Sus scrofa: one gene and its partners. The protein of the gene in region 1 interacts with the protein of each later gene in a pairwise test. Links are inferred from orthologs where the notes say so. Each region holds a gene or a part of one and is shown in the gene's direction. Other genes may lie near its edges.

What was found.
Region 2: the proteins of TAX1BP1 (region 1) and LGALS8 interact in binary tests that used the Homo sapiens proteins (3 or more experiments, as listed by UniProt). The link is inferred for Sus scrofa from reciprocal best matches to the Homo sapiens genes TAX1BP1 and LGALS8.
Region 3: the proteins of TAX1BP1 (region 1) and MRPL11 interact in binary tests that used the Homo sapiens proteins (3 or more experiments, as listed by UniProt). The two-hybrid records come from large-scale screens. The link is inferred for Sus scrofa from reciprocal best matches to the Homo sapiens genes TAX1BP1 and MRPL11.
Region 4: the proteins of TAX1BP1 (region 1) and CXXC1 interact in binary tests that used the Homo sapiens proteins (3 or more experiments, as listed by UniProt). The two-hybrid records come from large-scale screens. The link is inferred for Sus scrofa from reciprocal best matches to the Homo sapiens genes TAX1BP1 and CXXC1.
Region 5: the proteins of TAX1BP1 (region 1) and DAZAP2 interact in binary tests that used the Homo sapiens proteins (3 or more experiments, as listed by UniProt). The two-hybrid records come from large-scale screens. The link is inferred for Sus scrofa from reciprocal best matches to the Homo sapiens genes TAX1BP1 and DAZAP2.
Region 6: the proteins of TAX1BP1 (region 1) and GABARAPL2 interact in binary tests that used the Homo sapiens proteins (3 or more experiments, as listed by UniProt). The link is inferred for Sus scrofa from reciprocal best matches to the Homo sapiens genes TAX1BP1 and GABARAPL2.
Region 7: the proteins of TAX1BP1 (region 1) and MAP1LC3C interact in binary tests that used the Homo sapiens proteins (3 or more experiments, as listed by UniProt). The link is inferred for Sus scrofa from reciprocal best matches to the Homo sapiens genes TAX1BP1 and MAP1LC3C.

What each region holds. Positions count from the first base shown.
Region 1 is NC_010460.4:44,907,466-44,911,680, reverse strand, and holds the start of TAX1BP1 (tax1-binding protein 1), read left to right. Parts: upstream 1-1,415; 5' UTR 1,416-1,573; intron 1,574-4,215.
Region 2 is NC_010456.5:54,889,246-54,893,368, reverse strand, and holds the start of LGALS8 (galectin-8), read left to right. Parts: upstream 1-1,323; 5' UTR 1,324-1,822; exon of another isoform or gene 1,823-2,485; intron 2,486-2,970; 5' UTR 2,971-3,032; intron 3,033-4,123.
Region 3 is NC_010444.4:5,977,216-5,981,290, forward strand, and holds the start of MRPL11 (39S ribosomal protein L11, mitochondrial), read left to right. Parts: upstream 1-1,275; 5' UTR 1,276-1,509; coding exon 1,510-1,632; intron 1,633-1,997; coding exon 1,998-2,093; coding exon of another isoform or gene 2,094-2,379; intron 2,380-2,543; coding exon 2,544-2,637; exon of another isoform or gene 2,638-2,638; intron 2,639-2,722; coding exon 2,723-2,882; intron 2,883-3,999; coding exon 4,000-4,075.
Region 4 is NC_010443.5:99,937,326-99,941,590, reverse strand, and holds the start of CXXC1 (CXXC-type zinc finger protein 1), read left to right. Parts: upstream 1-1,465; 5' UTR 1,466-1,698; coding exon 1,699-1,701; intron 1,702-2,499; coding exon 2,500-2,618; intron 2,619-2,722; coding exon 2,723-2,823; intron 2,824-3,134; coding exon 3,135-3,370; intron 3,371-3,461; coding exon 3,462-3,656; intron 3,657-4,044; coding exon 4,045-4,071; intron 4,072-4,147; coding exon 4,148-4,265. UniProt on the Homo sapiens protein: Transcriptional activator that exhibits a unique DNA binding specificity for CpG unmethylated motifs with a preference for CpGG.
Region 5 is NW_018085018.1:160,763-164,766, reverse strand, and holds the start of DAZAP2 (DAZ-associated protein 2), read left to right. Parts: upstream 1-1,204; 5' UTR 1,205-1,269; coding exon 1,270-1,282; intron 1,283-2,280; coding exon 2,281-2,399; intron 2,400-2,808; coding exon 2,809-3,054; intron 3,055-3,954; coding exon 3,955-4,004. UniProt on the Homo sapiens protein: In unstressed cells, promotes SIAH1-mediated polyubiquitination and degradation of the serine/threonine-protein kinase HIPK2, probably by acting as a loading factor that potentiates complex formation between HIPK2 and ubiquitin ligase SIAH1.
Region 6 is NC_010448.4:12,130,187-12,134,143, reverse strand, and holds the start of GABARAPL2 (gamma-aminobutyric acid receptor-associated protein-like 2), read left to right. Parts: upstream 1-1,157; 5' UTR 1,158-1,285; coding exon 1,286-1,319; intron 1,320-1,657; coding exon 1,658-1,713; intron 1,714-3,089; coding exon 3,090-3,262; intron 3,263-3,957. UniProt on the Homo sapiens protein: Ubiquitin-like modifier involved in intra-Golgi traffic. Modulates intra-Golgi transport through coupling between NSF activity and SNAREs activation. It first stimulates the ATPase activity of NSF which in turn stimulates the association with GOSR1.
Region 7 is NC_010452.4:15,369,904-15,373,981, forward strand, and holds the start of MAP1LC3C (microtubule-associated proteins 1A/1B light chain 3C), read left to right. Parts: upstream 1-1,278; 5' UTR 1,279-1,786; intron 1,787-2,723; exon of another isoform or gene 2,724-3,039; 5' UTR 3,040-3,063; coding exon 3,064-3,121; intron 3,122-3,231; coding exon 3,232-3,287; intron 3,288-3,723; coding exon 3,724-3,830; intron 3,831-4,078.

The sequences.
Region 1 (4,215 bases):
TGAGAAGATGTTGCTGTCGTTTATTTCGAGAGTGTTTGGCCTATGTTTTCCTCTAAGAGTTTTATAGCGTCTGGTCTTATATCTAGGTCTTTAATCCATTTGGAGTTTCTTTTTGTGTATGATGTTAGGGAGTGCTCTAATTTCATTCTTTTCCACGTGGCTGTCCAGTTTTCCCAGCACCACTTATTGAACAGGCTGTCTTTTCTCCATTGTATATTCTTGCCTCCATTGTCATAGATTAGTTGGCTGTAGTTGCTGGGAAGAGTAGCACTTCTGAAAAATTCTGCTTATAAGGGTTCACTGCCGTATTTACATTGCTTAAGAGACACAGACAACCACTGGAAGGTTGCTACCAGTAAAGCCAGGTGATTACTGATATTATCACACTATCTGTAATCTAAGGAAATTGGTACTAAATGTTCTATAAAGGTTCTTCTGAAATCTATCAAGTATGATAAACAGAACAATACCAAATTCAAATATTTCAATATATAGGAAACAAATCAGTTAGCAGATATTGAGAACCCTTATTATCAAAGGCATTGTAATATTAAATATGTTGGAAGTAAAGTATATTGAAGAAGATTTTTGTACGTTTTGAATTTAGAAGATGCTTCAACATTTGACCTGATCTAATTTATTATCCTTTCTTCACCTGTGATGTTGCAAATTTTATCAGGGTTTGACGGCAACACAAGTACATGATTGTAAGAGACCACACTTGCCCCCGCGGAGTTATGATTTAAACTGAACCCCTACTCTAGGAAGTCATAACAAATGACTTTAGAAATTATAACTGAATAAAGGATACAGGACTAAATAAATTCATGCACGCAAAATAACGGATAACAAAAGCAGTTAACTCGAAGAAATGCGGGTAGAACGAGCAAGAGGAAATAGAATCATAAAGCACTGGAATTGCAAACTCCTAAGGGAAACCGAGGTTTCACAAGGAATAAAATCTCATTGTTAAGCAAGCACTGGGCTGGGCCAGGAGTTTGAAGAGAGTGATGGATTGCAGCCCCAGCCACGCGGTTGCTCTTTCGCTTCTTTGGTTCTTCACTTTCTGATCCACAAAAGAGATTCGCTTGGACAGATTTTTAAAGATCCAGACAATGACCTGGTGCCAGTTTAAACACTATCCTTTCCACTTAACTGGTAAATTCCTTGAATTTCCGGTCAAAGTAATAATTAAAAAGCCCAAAGGACCCTGTTTGTTTACGGCCAGGTCTCTGAGCAAAACCGGCAGGGCGGAAGAGGAGTAACAGCCGAACCGACGGTGAAAGCCGGTAAGGAATTGCCCGTGGCCCGGCCACAGGCAACTAACTGCCAAGGTGATTTAACGTCCAGAACAACCTGGTTGGTGTTCCAGCTGACCTCGCGTGGCTGCGGCGGCGGCGGCGGAAGGGGCGTGTCCCTGGGCGGAAGTGACGTGCTCCGGCTTTAGGCCCGGGGAGGAGGTGTAGCCGGTCGGTAGAAGGAGGCTTTGGTGGCGGAAGAGGATCGGGGCTGATGGCGGCTCAGGCTCAGAAGTCTTTTTAACACCCTTATCTGCCCAGGAGCTGCCCACTCGGTAAGCTCTTTCCCCTGCCTGCCCCACCGCCTGGCGCGGGGCGGACCCCCGCTGGAGCTCTTTGGGGGTTCGAGAGACTCCCCCCCTCAGTAGAGACTAGGGGCCTGGCTGATCTCGGGAATGGTCGCCCTGGTGACGAAGCTGCCTAGTGACAGTGCCTTCCTTCCCGGGCTGCGATTGTGACGGGGGTGTGGGCCACTTCGGTTAGCAGTGGAGTTGGAAAAAGCGACCGGTGGCCGCCTCACAAGGCGGGGAGGCCCTGGGCTAGGCCTTCGCAATTTGGGGGACCTGTGTGGGGCGTGGACCCTTTGGCTGGGGGCGAGTGACGCGGTGGGCCCCCCGGAGAGGACCCTGCCTCGCCCGAGGCTCAGCTGCGGGGTGAGTGTTTTGAGGGCAGCGTGTGTGCTGTCGACGTAGATAAACTTGGGAAAACATCTAGGTCGCCTCGGGTGGGACGCTCGGGCTTGCCCGTGAAGGGTGAAACCCAAGTGTTTTGGTTTGAGTCGCCGGCAGATTAGGAGGCGGGGACTCGGTGCGCCGCCTACGTCTCGGGGCCGCGGGCTGGGTTAGCTGTTTTGGTTGGATCACCGACTTCACCTGGGCCGCTGAATTAGCAAACACTTTTCTTTTGTTTATAAGTGGCTCTACGCCGAGTTCTCGAAGGGATGTTTTAAAATCTTGGGAGGAGAGCCACGTTTGTCTTTGCTTAGGCAACTTTTCCTGATTTCACAACTCTCCCTCCCTCCGGCACCCCGGAGCTCCGCAGGTTGTGTACAAGTCCCGGCAGGCGTTCGTCGTTTCGGGGAATCTTTATTAAGAGATTAGTATGTGCGTGCATGTTCTGATAAACATTTATTACCTGATTGATAATTTGGGAACGCTGTGACGTTTGACTTTCTACGTACGCTAGGTTTTTAAGTTTCGGAAAGTAGTTAGGAATTGCTGTTAAAAGTCAGGCTTGGGAAAATCGTAACTTTTCAACTCTGCATTCCGCTAATTGTGGAATATTTACAAGATGCAGGAACAATTGCTAATTGTAATTTTGGAGCTCAACTCCAAAAGCATTTAGAGAGATCATTTGAGTAACATGTTAATCCAAGAAGTGAGCTAATTAACCTTAAAGTGCTATTTCCCGCATAGAAGAGGGCTGAGGCCAGTCTTTCTTTTCGTGCTTATCAAGGATCCACTTAGGAGTTACCGTCATGGTTTAGTGGTTGGCGAATCCAAGTAGGAACCGTGAGGGTGCGGGTTCGATCCCTGGCCTCTCTCAGTGGGTTAAGGATCAGCGTTGCTGTGAGCTGTGGTGTAGGTTGCAGACGCGGCTCGGATCTGACCTTGCTGTGACTGTGGTGTAGGCCAGCAGCTACAGCTCGGATTGGACTGCTAGTCTGGCAATCTCCATATGTCGCTGGTGCGGCCCTAAAAAGACCAAAATAAATAAATAAATAAATAAATAAAAGGATACATTAGAAATAACTTACTAGCTTTGGGGTTTTTTTTTTTGTAACGTCAAAGAATATCCTATTTTTATTTTTTAGTCATCACATTTTTAAATTGCACACTCCTGTTGACAATAATGGCTGCAGCCGTTTGTGTAGAATTAAACTGTAAATGCCTTTTCCTTAACAAAATAACAGATATTTTGGAATTCTAAGTTTCACCCTTTTTTTTTTTTTAATTTTTTTTTTTTTCCCCACTGTACAGCAAAGGGGTCAGGTTATCCTTACATGTATACATTGCAATTACAGTTTTTCCCCCACTCTTTCTTCTGTTGCAACATGAGTATCTAGACATAGTTCTCAATGCTATTCAGCAGGATATCCTTGTAAATCTATTCTAGGTTGTGTAGTTTCACCCTTTTTAATGATATATATTTATGAAAGATTGCAACCATGCTCCTTTTTTACTGCTTTGGAGGAATTATCTTACATGTGATGTTTATTGAATTGCATCCTTTTGGAATTTGGATACTACTCAGTATCACTCTTGGCTTTTTAAAGTTTATTTTGCCCCATACAAACTCCTACGAGAAGATAAAGATTCTCTCCCCTCTAATATATATGGGCCAAGACCATGGCTTTTTAGAAACCAACTTTTAAAACAATATAAAAATTAAATATAAGTGGTGACACCTGGGCAGAATAGCCTGCTATTCAGCTGTGAAGAGTTTTGGAGATAGGGAAGACTGTAAGAGTGCACATCAACAGACTGATTCTTTTGTTTCTGCCTCCCAGAAAGATTGTTGATAAGAATTTTTTGGTTTGTAAACCAGCTGATAGCCTTTTTTTTGAGCTGAAGTGTGAATAATTGGAAACTATTAGAATATTAGACTTATTTTTTCCTTCCTGATGTTCAGTTTCCTCTAGGACTAAAGTTTGGAAATAAATTTAAAAGTTCATCCCCCCTCTTTGGCCTCTCCCGGATGCTTCTATGCCAGGGATCAAGCCTGAACCACAGCAGTGGCAGTGATGGGTTCTTAACCTCTTGAGCCACCAGGGAACTCCAAAAGTTCATAAGTTTTTAACCGAAAAACTTCCGTTAAGTTAGTCAGCTACTGTGTGTAATATGTTTCTATTGAAGGAAGTCGTACTGAGTTTTTATTACTAATCTTTATTTGTCTACTTTGGTTTTATTAACTTTTA
Region 2 (4,123 bases), on another chromosome or scaffold:
GTTGCTCCTCACTTTACCAATAACCTATCATTTCAAACCTAGTATTCAGAGAGTGTCTACTTCATGCAAAGCAATAAACTAGGCATTGGGGACTATATGACAAGTCCCTCTTTTCTGTATATGTATTTGATTTTTTTTAAGGGCCGCACCCAAGGCATATGGAAGTTCCCAGGCTACGGGTTGAATTGGAACTACAGCTACTGGCCTGGCCACAGCCACGGCAATGTGGGATCGAACCTCGTCCTCATGGATGCTTGTCTGGTGTGTAGCCCCCTGAGCCACAACAGGAACTCCCCCTCTTTTCAATTTAAAATGGAGTTGGATAGACAAAAACAACAATGCACAGAAAGGTAAGTACACATCCCAGCTAGCACATGCCAAGGGTTAAAGACAGCTACAGAAATTGGATCCTGAAGAGTGAAGTGAACTTGGAAAATGAAAAGGAGAGACATGTAACACTGGACCAGAATGAGTTGGATAGTATATGATGTGTAATGAATCCCTCTTTTTTTTTTTTGTCTTTTTAAGGCTGCACCTGAGGCATATGGAGGTTCCCAGGCTGGGGGTCTAATCGAGCTGTTGCTGCCAGCCTATGCCAGAGCCACAGCCACGCCAGATCCCAGCCACGTCTGGGTTCTACACCACAGCTCACAGCAATGCTGGATCCTTAATGCACTGAGAGAGGCCAAGGATCCAACCTGCAACTCATGGTTCCTAGTCGGATTCGTTTCCGCTGCGCCTGGACAGGAACTCCTGAATGCCTCAATTTAAAAAACAATAAAACCCAGAGTTACAGAGGAGAAACACAGAGCAGGGACACCAAAACATGTCTTTCAAAGGAAACCTGGATAAAAATCAAGGAAGACAAGTAAGAAGATGAGAACTTTGAGGTCTCTAAGCGAAACCAAAGTGTACTAGCTGCCTAAGGTAGCTTACATAACTCTATTTGTATTTCTCGCTGATGTTTCTTGCAGCCAGTAGGTCAAACTGGCAATCGATATGGGCCCTTGACTGAAAAGTCGGTTACTTCTGAATACCTAATGTGCTCACAGTTGTGCTCTACACGTTCCCCAGGGAAATACCTAACTTAGAAAACAACACCGCACAAAATTGGCGGGTGAGCTCCAGGGGCTGAAGTCCAAGTTAGACCAGGCAGAGTGGGATCGCATTTCCCCACTGACCCAAGGTGTGGCCAAGAAGGCAGAGCTCCACGCCAGGCTCTTTCCAGGCCGAGCACGGACTGTCTGGACTCTGATCCAAGACAAACAAGGAAGCAAACCTCGAACACCTGGCCCTGACCCCTTCGATCGGGGCAGGACAGAGGCGGTGGCCCTGGCCACGTAGACCCTCCTCGGCCACTGCCGGGTCCGCACCCGTCCTGAGCGCCTTCCCTCCGAGACTTGCGGACACGCCGGAGGGGAGCAGAAGGTCTCCTCCTCTTCCCCATCCCCGGCCCCCGAGCCCCAAAGGTGCGGCAGAGACGGCCAGCTCCGCCCGGGAATCTGAAGCACACACTGCGTCCCCTCCAGACTACTCGTCCCACAGCAAGCCGGTCGCGGCCTGACTCCCCAGAGGCCGTGTAGAAGCCGGCCGGGCGGAGGCGGGCAGCAGGAAGCCCCAGCGCCCAGCAGATCCGCGAGCACGCCCCCGACGCGGAGGCAGGGCCGTCGTGGACGGCCGCACGCGAACCGGGAAAAGGCGGCTTGACCCTTCTGCTTCCCGTAGCTGTGCGCGCGCCCGGCGGGAACGCGGACGACAGGCGGTGACGGACGAACAGCCTCCTGCGCCGAGCGCCCGCGACGCCTACTACGCCAGCCCCGGGGTGAGTCGGGGGAGTGGGCTGCTGCGCGCGACTGCGGGGGATTACTTGGGCTGCGCTGTCCCCATTCGGAGTTGGACGGGTGGGACCGGCTCCGCGCAGCCCCGTCTCTGGTTCTCACCGCGGCAGCGGCGGGCTGGGTGCGGGAAGTCGCCCCGCGCGACGCCCGGGGGTGAGCGGTGGTTGGGGTTTGCGGCCCTTCCTGCGGGACCCCTGGGCGTCCGACAGCCCTGGGGCCACCTTCTCATCTGCGACCTCCCGGCCGGGGCCGGGTCACCTCCCCGCGCGCGTATCCTTCCTGGGACTTTATATGATCGGGGTCCTTTAGACTTAGTGTCAGACCTCCGTGGCCCTTGGCGGACTCTGGTCACGCTCTTTGGAGATGCCGAGTCATTGGACGTTAGGAGACGCAAGTCTTCCGAATTGTTTTGATCACCCGTGCAGCATCGGGATGGCTTCTGGTTGATTACCGCAGTCCTGTGCCTGTGTTTATTTCAAGGAATGATCGGTTTTACCTGAGCCTATGGTTTAAATTGGGTCGCTCCCTGTTCACGACGTAAATTAGGCTTGTGGCCATGGCATCTCTGTATCCTTTTCTTTTGCTCTTGTTGATGTTTCCTGAGTTTGGCGGAGCACAAACAACAGTTTGGAGGTTTTGACCAACGTGTAAGTTAATAGGTGGGAGTTACATATATAAACCAAGAGGGGTGCAGCGTTTGCTTCTTTCTCTTCCTCTTTGCCTCCCTCCCTCCCTTTTTCCTTCCTCTTCCCCTCCCTCCCTACCTTCTTCCTTTCTTAGCTTTAATGAAGTTTATTTAACAAATAGAAAATGTATATTTTTAGGGCATAGCTCTTGATGTTTTGACTACACCCATTTATTTTTCTTACAGATCTTAGACCAGGCCAAGTACTCTGATTAGGGGGTCACAAGCTGAAATTCAGGTGTTATCCGGTTTGGGCTGTATTTTCTGGGGAAGAATCCACTTCCAGGATACTTGAGTTTGTCTCCAGAGTTCATTTCGTTACAGTTTCCTAGTCTGCCCACCTACACGCCATCTCAGATGCCAGCAGTAGTGTGTTAAATTCTTTTCGTGCTTCAAATCTCTGATTTCCTCTTCTATCACACTTCTCTGGCTTCTTTCTTTATTAAGGGCTTGTGTAATTACATTGGGTCCACCGGATAATCCAGGACAATCCCTATCGACATCAGCTGGTTGGTATCCTTTAATTACACCTGCAAAATCTCTCTTGCTGTGTAACATGGCTTAACCGGTTACTCAGCTTATGTTACATCCAGTGTTGGAGATTCAGTTTTTTCTTAACAGAGGCAAAGTAATAGATTTGGTCAGTGTGTATTGAACTTTGATGACAGAATTGGTGGAAGGAAAATGTTGGAAGCTTTAGTTTCGTTTCTCTCTTAGTTCTGCTTAGTCATCGAGTCTTCCGTGGTTTAAATGTAGTACTGATGGATACTTTTTTTTTGCTACAGGGAAAACTATCTCATTAATATTTGAGGCATCGAATTTTTTTTCTTTTGACTTGTTTAATTTGGAGGAGGTAAAGCAACCCCTTCTACTAAATAACAGTAGATAAAACTTAGCATGTACTGTTCCAATGTTTTATTAAGTAATGTAAACCCTCAGAACAAACCTATGAGGTGAATGCTATTATTATTCTTATTTTACAGGTAAGAAAAGTTAAATGAACCTCTCTGATAGTTGTATAGGAGTATTTGCTATTATTTTGTTTTAGGTTTTTTGTTTTTTGTTTGTTTTGGTCTGTACCTGTGGCATGCAGAAGTTCTTGGACCAGGGATTAAACTCATGTCACAGCAGTGACCGCCAGGTCCTTAACCCACTGCACCACCAGGGAACTTCTAGTATTCTTAATAAGTTTTTGTTTGTTTGTTTGTTTGTTTCTTTTTTAGGGCTGTACCTGCAGTATATGGAAGTTCCCAGGCTAAGAGTTGAACCAGAGTTGTAGCTGCCAGCCTATGCCACAGCTGCATATGCGACCTACGCTGTGATCTTAACCCACTCATCGAGGCAGGGATAGAACCCACATCCTTTTGGGTACTAGTCATGTTCTTAACCCGCTGAGCCACAGTGGGAACTCTCAACAATAAGTATTTTTAATAAAATTTTCAAGTTAGAAATTTTCTACTGATGTACTTTTAAAATCAGTATTTCCTGGAATTATAATGCAAAATTATTTAGTAAAATACATGGGATAAGAATTTCAGTCAGATCTTTGATTGTAATACCATCTGGTTATTTGGTAAATATTAGTAAAATAATTTATATA
Region 3 (4,075 bases), on another chromosome or scaffold:
AAGGTTTTGTCCTTATTGTACAGTGATAGCAAACGTTGACTAGGTGACAGATACTATCCTAAAGCACTTTGCTAACTTAACGCTCACAACTAGCCCCAGGGTATAGGGGGCCACATGTTATAATTCCCATTTTGTTTATTTAAAAAAAATTTTTTAAATTAAAGTATGGCTCAGTGGTAATGAACCTGACTAGTATCTGTGAGGATGCAAGGTCCATCCTTGGCCTCCCTCAGTTGGTTAAGGTTCCAATGTTGCCGTGAGCTGTGGCGTAGGTCACAGACCGGCTAAGTCGACTCCTAGCTTGGGAACTTCCATATACCGAGGGTGCAGCCCTAAAAAGACACACACACACACACACACACACACACACACACACACACACACACAAAAGTATAGTTGATTCACAATGTTCCTTCAATTTCTTTTTCTTTTTTTTTTTTAGAGGGCTGCACCCACAGCATATGGAGGTTCCCAGGCTAGGGGTCAAATTGGAGCTGTAGCCACCAGCCTACACCACAGCCACAGCGACACGGGATATGAGCCACGTCTTCAACCTACACCATGGCTCATGGCAACGCCAGATCCTTAGCCCACAGAGAAAGCCAGGGATTGAACCCGCATCCTCATGGATCCTAGTCGGGTTCGTTAACTACTGAGCCATGAAAGGAACTCCTGTTCCTTCAATTTCTGATATACATAAAATGACCCAGTCCTACATATATAAACATTCTTTTTTTTTTTTTAATTCTATTTTCCACCATGTTCTAACCTAAGAGACTGGACACAGTTCCCTGTGCTGTAAAGCAGTATCCCATCATTATCTGTTCTAAACAGCTTGCATCCACCAACCCAACCCCCCCCCCCCCCCCCCCCCCCCCCCCCCGGCAATCACAAGTCCACTCTCTATAATTCCCATTTTACAGAGGAGGAAACTGAGCATAAATAACTTGGTCAAGTTCACAGCCAAGCAAGAGAAGCAAGCAGGCAATTTGCTTCCAAGTCCATACTCTTAATATTTCTTTTCAACAGCAGGTGAAGACACGGGCTCATAAAATGAAGAAATTCCCTCGCCTGAAAAAGGAGCTCTAGGTTATTTTCAAACCCAGAGATTATCTCCGTGTCCAGCAGATGGCGCTCCAGGACACGCCACTCTGTGGGGTTTTCCTAAGAGGGCAAAACTACCATACCCATAAGACAGGGCGGCGGCTGAGGGCCTCTTTTCGCTTAGGTGTCTGAAGCAGTGCCTGTGTGCTCTCCAGGAGGAACGTGCGTATCCGAGCCATTCGGGTCCTTCCTCAATTTAAGATGGCACGTTAAAGGTTTTTCCCGCTTCATCTCATTCCCTTTGTCATTAGTGGGAGAGCGGAAGGACGGAATCAACGCTACTTGTTGGCTTCATTTGTCCTATCCTAGTGTGAGGACCCTTGACCTTTAACCCAAGCTGGCGGCGCCCGGAGCCTTCGCTCTTGCCGTGGACCTGCGATGAATTAAGGCCAGGAACTCCGCACCATGTCGAAGCTCAGCCGGGCCACTCGGGCCCTCAAGAAGCCCGAGGCCAGCGGCATGATCCGGGCCATCGTGCGGGCAGGCCAGGCCAGGCCCGGACCCCCACTCGGCCCCATCCTGGGTCAGGTGCAGCCGCGGCGGGAACCTGGAGTGGGAGGCCAGGGTCGGGTGGCCGCTAGTACGCGCGTGGAGGGTGCGGGCTGGAGCCAGGGCGGCCTCGGTTTAGAACATGGATCTGCTTGTCCACACGCAGTATGGCTTTGGGTTGGTCACAGAGCTTCTTCAGTCCTTCCTCGACGAGCTGTTGTGAGCCTAGACAGACGTGGAAGCATACAGATCACCTGGCACAGAAAATGCTCGTTGAATCTGGGTAGAGAAAAAAGGATGGGAACTTAGAGAAGTGAAGACGGAGGAGAGAACGGACAGAGAGCCTCCTGGGTGGTAGGAAGCTTCCCTGCGCCCCCACGCTAACCCCTGTGCCTCCGTCACAGCGAGGCGTTTCCATCAACCAGTTCTGTAAGGAGTTCAACGAAAAGACAAAGGACATCAAAGAAGGCATTCCTCTGCCCACCAAGATTTTTGTGAAGGTGCGGAGTTGGGACGCTGACCCCCAGTTTCCTTCTCATTCTCCCTCTTCTCCCCAGGTCCTGAAGCTGGTCGCTTGGGGTTGCTACTCTGCTTCTAACTTGGGGCACGTGTCATCCTGTTCCTGGGCCCCACTGTCCCCATTTACACGGTGGAGACTAGTCCGTATCTTTCCGGAGCCCCCCATCTACTGCCATATTGCAGATCTTAACTTTGCCCCTCCAGCTTGCTGGGGCTTCCAGAGCAGAGTTGGGTCTGGAAGAGAGGTGACAGGGATGTTTATGGCAGGTGAATTTTTCTGTGGTTTTGTGGTCAGTTAAATGGGCATCATAGGAAGGTGATTTGGGGAAAAGGAGGGACAGGAAGTTAAAAGTTCCCCAGGCAGAGGCAGCAGGGGTGGGGTGGGGGGGGAGAGAGAAAGAAGTAGTCTCATATTTCTTTTGTCTGTGAAGCCCGACAGGACATTTGAAATCAAAATTGGTCAACCCACTGTTTCCTACTTCCTGAAGGCTGCTGCCGGGATTGAGAAGGGGGCGCGGCACACAGGTAAGGGGCAGGGTGGGCATGGGGATTCTGCAGGCTCTGGAAGGAAGCAGTGACCTCTGAAGAACAGCTTGTTCTTTCCTCCCAGGAAAAGAGGTGGCAGGCCTGGTGACACTGAAGCACGTGTACGAGATCGCCCGCGTCAAAGCTCAGGATGACGCCTTCGCCCTGCAGGACGTGCCGCTGTCCTCTGTTGTTCGCTCCATCATTGGCTCTGCCCGTTCCCTGGGCATTCGTGTGGTGAAAGAGTGAGTGTCCAGGGGAGGGTCTGGAAAGTTCTTGACCCTGGGACAAAGATGAGGACCCACTGAGTGGGAGAGTCAGCTCCTGACTTAAGAGAGCTTAGATTCTTGGGAGTGCAGGGCCTCATTCACTGGAATGTATTTATTAAATATTCGTCAGATATTGTCCTGGACATTGGGTGCAGCTGGGAAGGAGGTAGCCATGCTGGGTCTGGCTTCTAAGGAGCTCACAGCCCAGAGATGGAGGCGAATTCATAAAAGGAGAATTATATTGTTGGATGGTCGGTGTGGCTAAAAGGAACTACAGGTGTCTTGAGTACAGGGATTAGGGTTCCTGATTTTGCCTGGTGTGTCAGTGAAAGCTTTGCAGAGTCCTTGACATCTAAGTAGAGCCCTGGGAAGCGAGGTCAAGGAGTGGGGGCAAGCATTCCAAGAAGTGGAAAAAATGTAAGGTGGAAGAGAGAGACGCAAAGAAGTTCGGTGTGACCCGGGTGTGTGCTACTAGAGGCGGAGTGGGAAATAGTATGAAGAGGGGATGCAGACAGGGACCAGTGTGTTCTTGAATTCAGACTTGACCCCAAGGCCAGGAGGGGTCCCCTCATGGGGCTTCCGATGACCTCAGGAATTGTTTTTTTTGAAGTGAGGTGTCAGGTGGGAGAGCATCCGGCGTGGACAGCAGAGGCAGCACCCAGCCCTTCGCTGGCCTCTTGCTGCTGGTGTTTCCCAAGAGGAGTGGGGTTAAGCATGGGACAGGGATGGACTTGACTTTGCTCAGGTCTTCACTTGTACAGAGGTGAGTGCATGTGATCCCTGCTCTAAGAGAGACATACAGGCACCAGCTAACGACCTCTTTGTACAGAATCTTTGGGGCACAGAGGAAAAGTGGGTTAATTTGGCCTGGGATGTAGCCGAGGTCTCGGAGGTTGAGTAGGGCTTCAAGAAGGGAATAATAGGCAGAGGCGATGGGGGGGTGGCATTCCTGGCGGAGGAAACAGATGGGCAGAGCCCTGGAGGCTGGGGAGTCCAGCGGGGGAGGAGGGGTTCTGAGAAGGTGCCGTGGGCACCTGTGAGCCCCCCACCAGTGCCAGGCCCTCACGTAGCGTCTGTTTTTCTGTACCCGCAGCCTCAGCTCAGAAGAGCTGGCAGCTTTCCAGAAGGAGCGCGCCCTGTTCCTGGCTGCTCAGAGAGAGGCAGATTTG
Region 4 (4,265 bases), on another chromosome or scaffold:
CCTAGGCTTAAAAATCCCCCATGGAGACAGAGCTTTGAGGGCTATCTCCTGTCTCCTTACTTGTCATAAGTAATAAGAAATAAATGCTTCCGGTTTAACTGAAAGTTCTTGGTGTGTTCATCAGTGAAGCACCCCAAGTGACAAACTCATTGTGTCTGGTCACACAGGGTCAGGGGAAGACTTGATGAAGCCTTTAAAATTTTTGGTCCATCCATTCTCACCACACATGGTCAGGTCATCATCATTTACTGCCAGTCTGTGGTTTCTCTGGACTAATTCTGAGGGATGAGGGCTGCTGCAGAGGCCCAGAGGCTTAATCTTGCTAAGCCTGGCTAACATCTGATAGGAGGAGTGACAGCTGGAAAGAGTGGTGGGAAGAGTCAACAGAGATAATCAATAAACTATACTAAGGAACAGAAGAGCTGTTGTTATGATTGTGGCACGTGGAAGTTCCCTGGCCAGGGAGTGAATCTGTGCCGCTACAGCGACTCAGGGCAGCTGCTGTGACAACACCAGATCCTTAACCCTCTGAGCCAGCAGGGAACGCTGAAGAGAGTTTTATTTGAGCCAAGCTGCGGACTGGGGCAGGAGTGCAGCCTCCACCAAGGAAGTAAGGGCTCCAGAGAAGCATGGTTTTCAGCACAGTTTCATACCCTGTCAGAACAAAGAGAATACATCAAACACGACAGGGGTACCTTTCTTCAAGGTTTCAACAGACCCTAGTTACAAATTAGCATATAGACAGACAGCGAGCGTTACCTTGACATCTGGAACAGGTACTTTAATCTCCAAGAAGATCTAGCATTGGTGTCATAGGAAGGGAGGCATTTCTCCCTACTGTAAAAGTGGACATTCTTTATATAATGGTTAAAGCAAAATACAAGGTATGTTTGACTGTTCTAGTTCACATAAAGTTCAGGACAAATCAGGTATAAGCCCGGCTGGCTTCATTAGTCCCCAATATGCGAAATTTTCTTCCATCAGAGGTGATATGGGAGGCGTAACAACAGGACTGATTTCCTTCCCAAAGCAAAGCACAGCATGCCTGGAGCCCATTATTAAAATACATGTGGAAGGGAAAAATGACTGAATAAGAGCGTCTCAATCGGGTAACGTTGCCAAAGCTGCCCCTTCGCCTGCGAACATCTAGACAGTACCAGCTGCTGGCATCGTAATCGACCGCCAAGATGGCGGCGCCCTCTCAGAAGCCGTTTAGGACGCTGCCATGTGTTGCCTATGAACGGAGGGACTCTGCCACCTTACGGAATCGGATTTCAAGATGACGGCGTCTGCTTGGAAATCGCTCAGTAGGCGCGACCATATTGCCTAAACGTCTGGGCCGTACAAACAGTCCTGTACGGACAGGACCCGCAGACAAGGTGGCGGCGCCCTCGGTAGAGCGAAATATAGGCGTGGCCATGTTGCTTGCGAACTTATGGACGCGGCCACCGTACGGTCTCAGTAGTCAAGATGGCGGCGCCTGAGAGACAGTCCGGGCTTTTAGGCGTGCTACTTGCTTGTTTGTCGCGGAGCGGACGCACTGGGCCTGCGCAATAGGAGTACCTTGCTTGGGAGGCGCGTCTAAAAGCGGAAGTGCTTGTGGGCGCCTTTGCAACGGCCGCGGACGCCGCCGAGCGGTCTGTGTAGGTTCGCGGGTCTCTGGCGGGGTTTGTGAGGGGCTTCGCCAGGAGCGGAGAAATGGTGAGTGCGAGGTCCCAGGATGGGTCGGCGGTCGAGGTCAGTGGGGTTGGAAGCGGCGGGTTCCATGGGCAAACGCATAGGGGGTCTTTGGTGAACCGTAAGAAGAGTCTCTGGGCAGAATGGAGGGGGCCCGTGGTAAGCCTTAACAGGAGTCTGTGGGTAGAATGATGGGGGGCTGATGGTCAGATTTTTTATTTATGCGTAAGCCACATGGGAGTTCTGTGATGAGGGTCCGTAATGGAAGTTTAGGGGGGATCCGTGGTGGTAGTTCCTTGGGGGTCCGGATGGGGGATTCTTTGTGCGGAGTGATGATAAGCTTGCGAAGAGTTGTCTTGGGCAGTCTGGAGTGAGCAGTGTGAGTCCGTGTGGAGGGACCCAGGGGGCGGGGCTGTCTCCGAGGTTAATAACCGGGCATCTGAGGGGAACCCAGGTGGGAAGGCTGAGGAATAAATCATATGGTGTCTGTGAGACCCTGTGGTGGGGATTTGTGGGGAGCCATGTCGGAGGGCAAAATATGGTGAGTGGTAGGTTGTTTGTAACTAGCCGTCAAGAGTGGGAGAGTGGAGTAATGGGCTATCAGTGGGATGAGTGATTGGAAGTCTGGGGCAGAGTAGTGGGTGTCAGAAGTGAGTCATGGGGGTGATCTGTGGGGACTATGGTGGAGAGGTTGATGAGGAGCCATGATGAGACTATTGGCAGAGTGTTGGGGTCTGTGGTGAACCTTGATGGAACTGTACTGGAGGGATGAGGTGCCATGATGGGGGTTCTCTAAGAAGCCATGGTGGGGATATCCCACAGGAGGGGGATGCTTCAGACCCAGAACCTCCAGATGCTGGGGAGGACAGCAAGTCAGAGAATGGGGAGAATGCGCCCATCTACTGCATCTGCCGCAAACCAGACATCAACTGCTTCATGATGTGAGCTGGGGGAGAGGTGGGCAGGATTGACACCTGGCCAGGTTGCGGGGAGGCCGATGGGGCAGGACCCCTCACATCTCCATCACTCACCCTGTTTTCTGCAGCGGGTGTGACAACTGCAATGAGTGGTTTCATGGGGACTGCATCCGGATCACTGAGAAGATGGCCAAGGCCATCCGGGAGTGGTATTGTCGCGAGTGCCGAGGTGAGGGAGTGGAATGGACAGGGCAGGCAAGTGGGGCTTCGAGGGAGGAGGAGGAGCCTTTATGGGAAGGTGAGTCCTGGGGAGCGGTGATATGTGTCTGGGGACAGAGTGATTATTGGTTGTGCTGAGCTGGAACGGAGGCTTCATTGTGAGCTGTGATAGAAAGTCCCACTGGCAGGGGCAGCTCTTCTGGGGGTATGAAGACAGAGCAGGTGGGTGGGACAGAAGAGGAGAGAAGGGGAAGAAAGACTTCTGGGACCATCCATATCTCCCAGTGCCAACACATGCTGGCTGTATCCTCTGTCCCACAGAGAAGGATCCCAAGCTGGAGATCCGCTATCGGCACAAGAAGTCACGGGAGCGGGACAGTAACGAGCGAGATGGCAGTGAGCCCCGGGACGAGGGTGGAGGGCGCAAGAGGCCTGTCCCGGAAGCGGACCTGCAGCGCCGGGCAGGGACGGGGACAGGGGTTGGGGCCATGCTTGCCCGGGGCTCCGCCTCGCCCCACAAATCCTCTCCACAGCCCCTGGTGGCCCCACCCAGCCAGGTGAGTGGCTTTGATGTCTGGAATAGGTGAGGGGATCCTATCTCAGGCCCTGCTCTGGTTCCTAATTTCTGTTCTGGGCACCTCGTCCTAGCATCACCAGCAGCAGCAGCAGCAGCAGCAACAACAGCAGATCAAACGGTCAGCCCGCATGTGTGGCGAGTGTGAGGCCTGCCGGCGCACTGAGGACTGTGGCCACTGTGACTTCTGCCGAGACATGAAAAAGTTCGGGGGTCCCAACAAGATCCGGCAGAAGTGCCGGCTGCGTCAGTGCCAGCTTCGGGCCCGGGTGAGCATGGGCAGGGCTGGGCAGGGTCTGGGGGGGCCATTGTCTTCAGAAAGAGATGATTAAGGCTAGGGCGGGTGGGCTGGGTGGGGTGGGGCATAATTGTATACAGATAGCTGGGGAGGAGCCCGGCCTGTCCTGATGAATGGGGTGCAACCAGGTGTGCTGGGCTAGCAGGGGAGCCCCCAACCTCAGCTGGGCAGGGTAGGACCAGATGTTTCCAGGTGGTCAAGCATGTCAAGGCAGGTGGGGCAGGGCTGAGCATGTCCTAGTGATGGGGGGGCAGGTGTGTTTAGGGAGTTGGTGGGGTCAAGCACTTGTGGAAAGGGTAAGGGCAGGGCCACCCTCCATCCACCTGGGGCTGACCTGGGCCTTCCTCCTGCCGGCACAGGAATCGTACAAGTACTTCCCTTCCTCGGTGAGTCCAGCCCCCCAGGGCGGGCGGGGCATGCGGGCAGGGCGGTCAGGGCCAGTCCTGAGATTCTGCCCCGCAGCTCTCGCCAGTGACGCCCTCAGAGTCCCTGCCAAGGCCTCGCCGGCCACTGCCCACCCAGCAGCAGCCACAGCCATCGCAGAAGCTGGGGCGCATCCGTGAGGACGAGGGGGCAGTGG
Region 5 (4,004 bases), on another chromosome or scaffold:
AAGGGATTGCTGAGCTGAAATCAGTGGTTTAAATCATTCATCAGCAAATATTTATCAGGCTTCTACGGTTTACTGAGGGCTTTTCTTTCCAAAGTTTTCCCTTTTCAGATGCTTTTCTAATGTTCTTACTGAAGTATAGAATGTAAATTCCATAAGAAAACAATGTTTGCCTGTCTTGTCCAGCTCCATCTCTACTTGCACAGAGCAACACCAGCAGATATTTTAAAACGAAGAATGGAAGGAAAAACTTATTTGCTGCCTGAAAGGATGCCATCTTTGCCCTTAAGAACAAGGTTTTTGTTTTGTTTTGTTTTGTTTTGTTTTGCCTCAGCTAGGAATGCAGAAATTCCCACGCCAGGGGTCAAACCCTTGCCATAGCTATAACCAGAGCCACAGCAGCGACAACGCCAGGTCCTTAGACCACTGAGCCACAAGAGAACTCCAAGAACAATTAATTTAGGAGATACACAAAGGAAAATATACATGAGGTATCACACAGTTGCCTGTAACAGGTACCAAAGGAAGGGCAGGGCCACAGGCACTCCTTGGGGACCACAAGAATGCCAGTTTCAGTGTTAGCTGTAGTGTGTGTGGGGGGGGGGGGGGTTCACAGCACAGCATACCCTTCCTTTTAGTGAGAAAGCGACACTGAAATAAACACAGAAGCCTGTCGGTAGAATGGACAGGCTGAGAAAATTCGAGTGATGGTCTAAGTCAGAAAAGGACAGATGTGAATACGACCAGCAAAATAAACCTCTATGGAGTTGAGGCTTAAGTTGGGTTTAATGGGAGGGGAACACGGGATAAATCAAGGGTTTGAGGAGCGTATTTCAGGCAGTTAGAGAAATTCGTAGCACTGTGCCCCCTGTGGAAAGACTCTCAAAGTAAGGTGACCTTGAGTTGCAGTGCGTAGGTGGGAAGGGTTTCGGGGAGCAGTGTGAAGGTACTGCCTCAGAGCGACCAAGAGAGAAAAGATACTGTTTTGAGACAATACCTGTACTTTGTTTTCTTCCAATCAAGGGACAAGGGTGGGGGTTGGAGGGCTCGACCCAGTGGGCGGGGCCAAAGTGAGTGGGCGGATCACGCGGGTCCTTCCTCCAGCTACTGGAGACCTGGCGAAGGGGCGGGGTTTCCGGTGGCAGCGGCATTCGGGCGTCGGGTGACGCTAGGCGGACGAATCGTCACGTGACACGGAAGTGACTACGAACAGGAAGAGGACGAAAAAAATAACCGTCCGCGACGCCGAGCTGAACCGGACCCGCAGCCACCATGAACAGCAAAGGCAAGGACAGGGGGTAGCTGAGGCCATCGGGGAGAATAGTGCTGGCCCGGAGAGAGCGGGCCCGGGACCAAGGGTCATCAAAAGCCAGGCCTGGGGCTAGTTGCGCCGCGCTCCTGGGCCAGCTGTAGTGCCGGGGGTTGCGCCAGACGCCTTCGTCATCCCCGAACTACGGCTGCTCGCCCCCTCCTGGCCTTTTCCCCCTTAAACTCTGTGGCGCAGTTTGGAGCTCCGGGCTCGAGTGGGGGGCCGTTGGAGCGGGGGGGGGGGCGAGAAGGCTTGTCGTGATGGGCATCTGCAGGCGCAAATGGGGAGCTAGAGCTGATATTTGGGTAGGCCAATGGAGAGCCTGCGGAGGCGGGGCGCCGCGCTCCGGAACCACAGGCAGGCCCCAGGGCTTAACTAGTGAATTGCCGGCCCTGGTGGGCGGGCCGGGCAGGCCGAAGGGTCTCTTTCCCCTTAACCTCGCTGGCCGCCTGAACGTCTCCCAGTTCCTGTGTTAGGACATTCGCCTCCACCTCCTCTCCCATCCCAAGGCTCACTTTCACCACTCTTTTTATTTGGAAGTCGACCTTGAGTAGGAACCTGTGAGGTGGAGGACTACAAACACCGTTACTCACGAGCTCTAGGCCAGTTTCAGCCAGGCCCTGGGGGACCACCAGAGCAGAGAGGACGCACACACTTAAAACATCGACAGGAATGGGTGCGCAGACATGCCCATTCTGGAAGGATCTTGGGCCTAGATAGACTTTCCCCTTGTACCAGTGTGCTACTGTAAAGAGACCTTCCAGCCCAGTTAGAATCCAGCATCTCAGTTATAAGGGTACAAAGAGTGTTTATTTTCTTGGTTCCAGGAATCAGGCCCTCTAGGACAGTGTTTTTGCAAACCTCTTGCTGGCTCAGTGAGGTTAGCTACCCAGTATGCTCTGCCCCATTTTGGTTGCTCTGTGTGGTAGGCAACATTCTTTTTTTTGTTTTTTGTTTTTTTTCCTGTCTTCCAGGTCAATATCCAACGCAGCCAACCTACCCGGTGCAGCCTCCCGGGAATCCTGTGTACCCTCAGACCTTGCATCTTCCTCAGGCTCCACCCTATACTGATGCTCCACCTGCCTATTCAGAGGTGCTTCCAGTTTACTAGACTTGAACTGAGTACTCTTGGATCACATTTTCAGTCTTTAGCTAAGTCTGGCTCCACACATGTATTTACTCTCCACAAACAGGAGAGAGAGCTCACGTGGATAATCTAAAACCTCTTTATAGTTCAGCAATTTCAGTTGGGGTTGAGAAGGCATTATCTGATTATTTTGCTCTTTGGCACAGGCTGAAGTTGAGAAGATGAGTTAGCGTTCTTTGAGCCCAACATTATTTCTAGCAGGAAGTGATCCAGGAGGATATTGAGTGGCTGGTGGAAAGGCAACTTGTGTAACTCAGAGTGTAATCTGCACAATAATTAAGAATTGCCTCATGAAAGAGATCTGAAATAAGAATGTCATAAAGTAACGTGTTGCCCTCTCTTCTGCCTCTTCTAGCTCTATCGTCCGAGCTTTGTGCACCCAGGGGCTGCCACAGTCCCCACCATGTCAGCTGCATTTCCTGGCGCCTCACTGTACCTTCCCATGGCCCAGTCTGTGGCTGTTGGACCTTTAGGTTCCACAATCCCCATGGCTTATTATCCAGTTGGTCCCATCTATCCACCTGGTTCAACAGTGCTGGTGGAAGGAGGGTATGATACAGGTGCCAGATTTGGAGCTGGCGCTACTGCTGGCAACATTCCTGTGAGTATGCCTTTATCACAAAAACCTCAGCCCTTGTGTATATTAACTTTCTGAAATGACTACATAGTCATCCTTTCATCATCCCTGGGCAGTAGTTGCTGGTATTGGTGCAACCACTGACGTCCAGTAATCAGGCAGAATTCACTTGAGGGGGCAGGAGAACTGTGGGAAGTCAGTAGCCTCTGGCATATTCACTGAGGTCTGAGTTAACCAGATTCCTTTGTTTCTGTCTTAGGAGTCCTGCCTGCTGCTTTTCCAGTTCACTTTGGTACTGGTCTAGTAACACTCCTCATTCATTCCATAAGCATTTACTTAATATTTGCACAGCATTTTATCAGGAGCCATGATGATTAAAAAGTAGAATGCGTATCCCTGTTAAGTTCCCTTTAGGAAGACTTTACTAGGGCTTTTACTATGTCTCCCACTTAGTTTCCCTATGTATGGTAACTAGAGCCCAAATGGTCCTTGCTAGGGCCATTCACGCAGTAACCATATGCTAACAATGAGGTGAGAATGCTGTCATCAGGTAGAGCCTTCAGATTATCCATGTGAAAACTGTTGAGGAACTCTGTGGTGTAGGGCCATGGACCTGGTAACCCCTCCCCATTTTTTGGAATGGGAGTCAGAGGGATTTTCCACCCTGCAAATGCTTATGGGTCTGGACTGTGCATACCCAGGAGGGATCCCTAGGCTTTATCTTGGATCTGGGACCCTTTAAATGAGGGGTAGGATCTGTTTTCTGTTTATGTCTTGGGGCTCACAGAGAATATAGACCTGCTTCACCCACACTGCTGGCTCAAGTAGCACGTTGCCATCTTCCTGACCGGTCCTCTTTCATCTTTGTCCACTTCTCTCGTATCAGCTGCCCGGTGCCCAATCAACCTTGTCTTTTCCTTTCAGCCTCCTCCCCCTGGATGCCCTCCCAATGCTGCTCAGCTGGCAGTCATGCA
Region 6 (3,957 bases), on another chromosome or scaffold:
ACTGAGGAAATTGTGAATGACGATGTTCACACATGCAGGCCTTTTGGATGCATCAGACTCACAAGCATGTGGTGAGGATCATGTGCCCAATTAAGTGAATATCTTGTCAGATATGCACCAGCTCATAAACAGATGATGACCCAGGGCAGACCGTCCCATGACTCTTGGAAGAAGAAAGGAATGACGTTCCTGGAGAACCTGAAGGCGGACGCTCAGGCAGGAGACACTCACACAACCCAGGCTGTAACTGTTGAACCCCAAAGCTGAGTGCTGAAGAAACCCGCTTCATGCCTAGCTGTCAGAGGAATTTTCTGAGTCTGTCACCTCTGACTACTCCACCAGTTAAGATTAAGGGGTTTCTTTGTGATCAGCGTGATGTTATGCCCCTCAAATGCATATTTATGATACCTTTTCTTAAATGTTTATTCAGACACTATTCGTGAATAAAGCAAGGAAATGGGATTTGTTTAAACTCCATTTCCAGGTCCAATGCAACCTGTTATGGCTGTCCCCAATAATGAACCCCCCGGGGTTGTCATCAGTATCCCTCCCCATACAGTTTCCTCAAACTAGTCATACACTCCAGATTGAGCCCCCAACCTGGGAATTTCCTGGTGGCCTAGGGGTTAGGGATCCGGCGCTGTCGCTGCGGTGGCTCAGGTGGGATCCCTGGCCTTGGCTGGGAACTTCCGCATGCCGTGGGCGTGGCCAAAAAAATAAACAAAAAACCTCTCAATTTAGCCCAACCCGTTACCACTCTACACAATACCCCTCAGACTGTCAATGCCCTAAACAGACCCCCTGCCATCAGCAGCCACCAAAGACCCCTCTTCAGTCATTGATATTCTAAAATTCCCCTCTTGTCACCAACGCCCCGGTCGGACTTCTCTAACACTCCCAAGAGCCCTGTCGTATCAGCCAGACCTCCACACATCCCTTCCTGTTACCAACGTCCACCGAAACCCCGCTCTTGTTACCAATTCCTGAATATCCCCTTCCCAGTCATCAACTTCCCTTACAGACACCCCAATCGTCAACGTCACCACGGCAACTCCTCCCGCGGCCTCTCGCGGTACCCACTCCTTCCTTGCCCCACGCCTCCTGGCCCGATGCCCTGAGAAGCGGCGCCGGAAGCCCCGCCCCCGGCCGGTTGCTAGGCTCCAGCGGCCGGAAGTCCCGCCTGCCGTGTAGTCACCGCCGCCGCCGCCGCCGTCGTTGTTGTTGTGGTTGGTGCGCTGAGCTCCGCGGCTCCGAGAGCCGGCTGCGTCCTTTCCCCGCTGTCGCCATGAAGTGGATGTTCAAGGAGGACCACTCGCTGGGTAAGCGCTCGGCGTTTGGCCTGCCCGTGGGGGCTGGGGCGGCGGGTGGGCCCCCTCCCCCACTCGGGCCGCCCTAGGCTGGGCCGGGTGGGGCGGATGCCGCCCTCTGAGCTCTGGTCGCCGAGGCCCCAGCACCCCGGGCGGCTAACTATGGATTCCTCGCCGCCCTCCGCGGGCCCCGCCAGAGCCAGGGGAACGAGGACCGAGGTCGCTGGGACACCCGAACGAGGGCCGGGGGCGTGCACAGGTCACGGGGGTGGGGTGGGGTGGAGGAGGGGCGAGGGACCCGGAGGCCGGTGGGCCGGCGCGACCGTCAGCCGGGTGTGTTTTTCTCATAGAACACAGATGCGTGGAATCTGCGAAGATCCGAGCGAAATATCCCGACCGGGTTCCGGTGAGTGAACTCCCCGCCCCCTCACCTCGCTGTCACCCCTGCCGTCTTGGACCCATGATAGGGTCCCTGGCCATTCAGCAGTTGATAAGTTTAGATTCCAGTCCGGTTAGAGTAGTTGACGGGGCCTGACGGCTTAGGGACCCTCGGGCGGCGGCTTGAGGGGCTTGAGTTGGTGCTGTTCAGGATGCCTCAGTGCTGAATCTCCGGAACTAGGCCAGCGAGCTGTCTGCAGCCTCAGGGCTCCCTCGCCAATTATGTAAGAAACGATGTTCTAGGACAGGGCAACAGGTCACAGCCACTTTGGGGAATAGTGGTGGAGGGAGTCTTTCACTTTGGTTTTGGAAGGGATACTTTAGCCTTAGGACATTCATCTTTAACTTTGAGCCTCCGGCTTTACCTGACTTCTCCTTCCCTTTTCTCACCCTGACCCTGTCATCCTTTCCTGACCAAAAAAAATCTGAGGAGCCCCGTCCAGTGCCTTCCTTGTAATCAATAAAACGTATCCTATATTTCTTCCGTGTTAGGGCACATAGTTTCTTTAGTCCTTTTTGTTTTTTGTCTTTTTAGTGCTGCGCCCATGGCATATGGAGGTTCCCAGGCTAGGGGTCCAATCAGAGCTGTTGCTGCTGGCCTACACCACAGTCACAGCAACTCCAGATCTGAGCCGTGACTGTGACCTACACCACAACTCATGGCAACGCTGGATCCTTGACCTGCTGAGCAAGGCCAGGGATCGAACCTGAAACCTCGTTGTTCCTAGTCGGGTTGTTTCCACTGTGCCACGATGGAAACTCCCTGATTGGTTTTTAAAGGACATCCGGGTCTGTTATTGTAGCTCATGGCTTGTAAACAGTTCCTCTGGGGAGAGAGCAAGAGGGGTAAATTTGAAACGTAGTTCAGAGAGAAGCAACAGGCCAAATGAAGAGCTTGGTTCTTGGCTGGTTGGGATTGCCAGTCCATCCCATTAGTCCGTCCATTCTCATTTCCAGTGTTCCTTGGGATCTTATTCCCCTGTAGTGTGGGTTCACTTTGGGGTCCTGAAGTAACAGGCTGTAGAGGAAGCTCTCACCAGATAGTCTCCAGTCTGCCCAGACAAGATGTTGCAAAGCTTTTTTGTGAGGGCTGTGTTTATTTCATGCATGCTGAGATCAGGGATGAGAAAGAAAGTAATTGACCACAGAAAAGCACTTACCTTTCCCCGTAACACATATATATCAATTCTTAAGTGTGTGGTTTTTTTAAGTCGAACGTATTTTCTCATGTTTCACAGTTTCCCACCCACCTCCCTGACCACACATTGTTCATCAGCTCTCCAGTAATGCTGGGCCAGAGCCTCAGTCTAGAAATCCAGTCCCGACCTTTCTCTGCTTTTGCAGGTGATCGTGGAAAAAGTCTCAGGCTCTCAGATTGTTGACATTGACAAACGGAAATACCTGGTTCCATCTGACATCACTGTGGCTCAGTTCATGTGGATTATCAGGAAAAGGATCCAGCTTCCTTCTGAAAAGGCAATCTTCCTGTTTGTGGATAAGACAGTCCCACAGTCCAGGTGAGAGGTGTTTACTGTGTTGGCCATCTGCTTGGTTGCTTGCAGAACTCAAAACTTTGGAGGACTGAAAGCTCTTAGGGGTCTTGACTGGAAATAAGGATTTTGTGTTCCCTGACCTCAGGAGTTCAAGGAAGAGTTGCAGTAGATGGGTGTATACTTTGGGTTAAGACAATAGAGTAAGGCCTGGACTTCAAACAAACAAACAAACAAACAAAAGATGAGATTCAGCCTCAGGCGCCCAAGAATCCTTTAAAACAGTTAGGACTTATTTTGGCTTTAGCCATTTTTAGAACTGAAGCCTGAAATGAGGTTTTCTCCAAATGATCCATGAAATAAGTTCTTCCCCAGGAGCTTGTGGGCCCTGCTGAGGCTCAGTTTCAATCAACCACCCTGCCTGCTTGCTCGCTCTCCAGGCTCAGCTCTGGCCGTGGTGAGAGTGCACTGAGAGCAGCGGCCTGATCCTCAAGTACATGGGAATGGCTGCCGGCCAGCACAGGGCTCTGAGGTCTCTTTACAGCCTTTCACCTCCCTTGGTACCACTTACTCTGACTGTAAGAGGAACCCCCCCTTTGCTCTTGCTGTTGTGCTGCCTGGAAGCAATCTTTGGGATAACCTGGGGCCTGAATCTAGGCAGAGCCTTTACAATTCCCTTCTTGTAGGTAGTTGACAGCCCAGCTTTAGTCCACTGTGGCAAG
Region 7 (4,078 bases), on another chromosome or scaffold:
GCAGCTCCAATTCGACCCCTAGCCTGGGCACTTCCGTATGCTGTAGGCATGGCCCTAAAAAGAGGAAAAAAAGTAAAATCAATAAAGAACATAGCAGTTGCTTGGAATATAATCATTGTGGTGGGAAAATGAGTGCTAATGATAGAGACCCCTCTCTAGGTAGGATCATGTGATTCATTTTCCTCTGTGGAAGGTGGGTGAACCCTCAAAGGTGCCACTTTAAGTCTGAGAAAGCCAAGTGTAAGTGTATCTTTTCCACCTGTTTTCCCATCTGAGCTGGTGGAAATGAAGGCCTTTGAGGTGACAGAACCTGCAGGTGTAAAGCAGAGAATGCCCTTAAATTTCTCCTGGAACAGAGCCAAACAGGGAGCCTCCTACATGTACTGGACTGCGATGTGGATGAAAGTCAAACTCTTTATGTGTAGCTGTTACATTTAAGGGTATATTTCTTTTTTTTTTTTTTTTTTTTTTGTCTTTTTTGCTATTTCTTGGGCCGCTCCCACAGCATATGGAGGTTCCCAGGCTAGGGGTCGAATCGGAGCTGTAGCCGCCGGCCTACGCCAGAGCCACAGCCGCGTCTGCAACCTACACCACAGCTCACGGCAACGCCGGATCATTAACCCACTGAGCAAGGGCAGGGACCGAACCTGCAACCTCATGGTTCCTAGTCAGATTCATTAACCACTGCGCCACGACAGGAACTCCAAGGGTGTATTTCTTATTGCAGCATAGCATAGCCTGTCCTCACTACAGAACAATTAAATGGTAGTAATGATTACTTTTTTTTTTCAAAATATAAATAGCCACGAAAGGAAAATATCACAAAGTTAATATGAAATATGTAGGATTCTTTCTTCTTGAGCAATAAAAAAGAAATTTTGAGGAAGTGCCCCTTGTGGCTCAGCAAGTTAAGAACCCAACTAGTATCCATGAGGAGTTGGGTTCGATCCTCAGCCTTGCTCAATGGGTTAAGGATCCGGCGTTGCCATGAGCTGTGGTGTAGGTCGCAGACATGGCTCGGATCTGGCATTGCTGTGGCTGTGGCGTAGGCCAGGGGCTGTAGATCCGATTCGCACCCTGCTTAGGAACCTCCGTATGCTGCAGGTACAGCCCTAGAAAGCAAAATACATAAATATATGTATATCTCGAAGCCCAGAGCTCAAGAAATTGGTCACATGATAATGGGTAGAGACAGGAAGGAAGGAGAGGAGGTCAAAAAAGGGAAGAGGAAGGGGTCCCAGGGCCATCATGACCTGTGGAAAGTTGTGAGGCCCCCACTGCATTCTAGCACCTCAGGTCAGCGCCCCAACCTTCTCCACTGAGCCTCAGCATCAAAGATGGACCTCATCCATGGAGGTGTGGCCCTAGGAGCTAAAGGTCTTCTAAGAAACCAATCTAACTACTGAGGCCAAGTTCATGCTCCTCCCTGCAGACTCAAAGCCTCAGGGTGAACTCGGCAACTATTGTCCTAGCTTCGTAGGCAGGGGTAAAGGCAAGTTTTTTTTTTTAATAGGGAAGATTTTTCACTAGTTGTGTAAAAAACAGAGTAAACTACTGCTTTTCTTTCTGTCCCTCAGCAAACTGGAGAATGTTTGGTCACCTTCCCCTGTGTCATCATCACTACGCTGAAGACTTCTCAGTGTCCTGCATAGAAGGGAGCCAGGGATGACCAGTAAAGGTCATGGTACCTCCAGAGACAATCGAGCAGAAGCAAATGGTCCTTTTTATTCTCAGGACGTGATGGATCTGAATAACACGGAGGGACCGCCGAGCTCCTGGGTGTGAGGTAAGGAGGTGCTTGGCATCAAGTGGGAAACGGGGTCACTAAAACCGTCATTAAGGCGTTCCCCTCATGGCTCAGTGGAAGCGAATCGGACTAGCATGCATGAGGATGCAGGTTCCATCCCTGGCCTCCCTCAGTGGGTTAAGGATCTGGCGTTGCCGAGAGCTGTGGTGTAGGTCACAGACACTGCTCGGATCTGGCATTGCTGTGAGCTGTGGTGTAGGCTGGCAGCTGTAGCTCCGATTTGACCCCTAGCATCTGGGAACCTCTATATGCCGTGGGTTCGGCCCTAAAAAGACAATAAAGAAATACAGAAATATCCTGAGTTTGATAAAAAGTGTTCTACCCACATTCCTAGACCTGTAAAAAATGACCAAAATATGCTGGAAAGCTGCAGAGTATAACACTACTTTGATACATGCCTAGATTTTTTTTTTTTTTTTGTCCTTTTTAGGGCTGCATCTTTGGCATATGGAGGTTCCCAGGTTAGGGGTCTAATTGGAGCTATAGCTGCCAGCCTACACCACAGCCACAGCAACACCAGATCCGAGCAGCATCTGCGACCTACACCACAGCTCACGGCAACGCCAGATCCTTAACCCACTGAGGGAGGCCAGGGATAGAACCCGCAACCTTATGGTTTCTAGTCGGATTTGTTTCTGCTGCACCACAACTGGAACTCCCACACCTAGATTTTAACCCTAATTTTACCTCTTTATCTGGACAAGTTACTCAGCCTTTCTGGAATATTCTTTCTTTCTCTTGCTTTTTAGGGCTGCACCTGAGGTTCCCAGGCTGGGGGTTGAATTGGAGTTGTAGCTGCCAGCCTACACCACAGCCACAGCAACATGAGATCTGAGCCTTGTCTGCCACCTACACCACAGCTCACGACAACTCAGGATCCTTAACCCGCTGAGCGGGGCCAGGGGTTGAATCTGTGTCCTCATGGATGTTAGTTCGGGTTTGTTACCACTGAGCCACAACGGAAACTCCCTACATTGTAAATCTCAATTTCTTTAGCAAAGACAACATTTTAAACGGTAGTGAGCAAAGTGACTTTCTCTAACCAGCAAGCAGGTGGCTGTTTCATTTCCATTCTGAAAAATGACCCCCTCCTGCCCAGGAGGGGAGGGCTGGAGAAGGCTGATGTCACACAGTCCCACATAAAAGCGTCCTTTGGGCTCCCGCAGGCAGTTTGGAAACAGCTGGAGGAATGAGTTAGGTACTCTTTTTTTTTTTCTTTTTTTTCAATTCAGACACAGACACAGCTGTTGAGCAAAATGCAGACTCCCCAGAAAAGCCCAAGCCTCAGACCCTTCAAGCAGAGGAAGAGCTTAGGTAAAGTTCTCAGAGTATTTGTCTGGGTTTGGGCCCTCGAGACAGGGAAAGACGAGGACACGGACTTCTGCTCCAGGCTGATATGTTCATTTCATCTTACGTGTTCACAGCAACCAGAAGAGAGGAAGTGGCTGGAATCCGGATGAAGTTCCCTGGCAAGATCCCGGTAAGACTCCACTGTGGCTCCTCAGCCGGGCCTGTGATGTCCCCTTCTTTGAGAAAACAAAACCCGGAGCTGCTGTTGTGGCTCAGCAATCACGAGCCCAGCTGGTAACCATGAGGATGTGGGTTCGACCCCTGGCCTCACTCAGTGGCCCAGGGATGCCGCATTGCCGTGAGCTGTGGTGTAGGTTGTAGACGAGTCTTGGATCCCATGTGGCTATGGCTGTGGTGTAGGCCAGCAGCTGCAGCTCCGACTGGACCCCTAGCCTGGGAACTTCCATATGCTTCAAGTGCAGCCCTAAAAATCAAAAGAAAAAAAAGACAAGACCAAACCCAGGCAGTGACCCCCTTCTCTCTATTCCAAGTTTCTAAGACACGGAGACTGAGGCACATTCTTGGGCATTTGCTTCGGGAGAGATTCAGGTTGAAACTCTTGACAGGTGATAGTGGAGCGCTACCCCAGGGAGAAATTCCTGCCCCTGCTGGACAAGACCAAGTTCCTGGTCCCCCAGGAGCTGACCATGACCCAGTTCCTCAGCATCATCCGGTAGGTAACAAAGTGCATGCAGGGGCCGGGGGTGGAGGTGCGCCCTGTGGCCCTGGGCTTCTTGGAACAACGGGAGATGGGCTACAGCAGAGAGACAGGGAAGGATGTGGGTTTCACCTTTTCTCTTCAACTCTGCCTTTTAAAAGGATGATGTTGAGTTCCCGTTGTGGCTCAGAGGGTTAAGAACCTGACTAGTGTCCATGAGGTTGCAGGTTTGAACCCTGGCCTCATTCAGTGGGTTAAGGGTC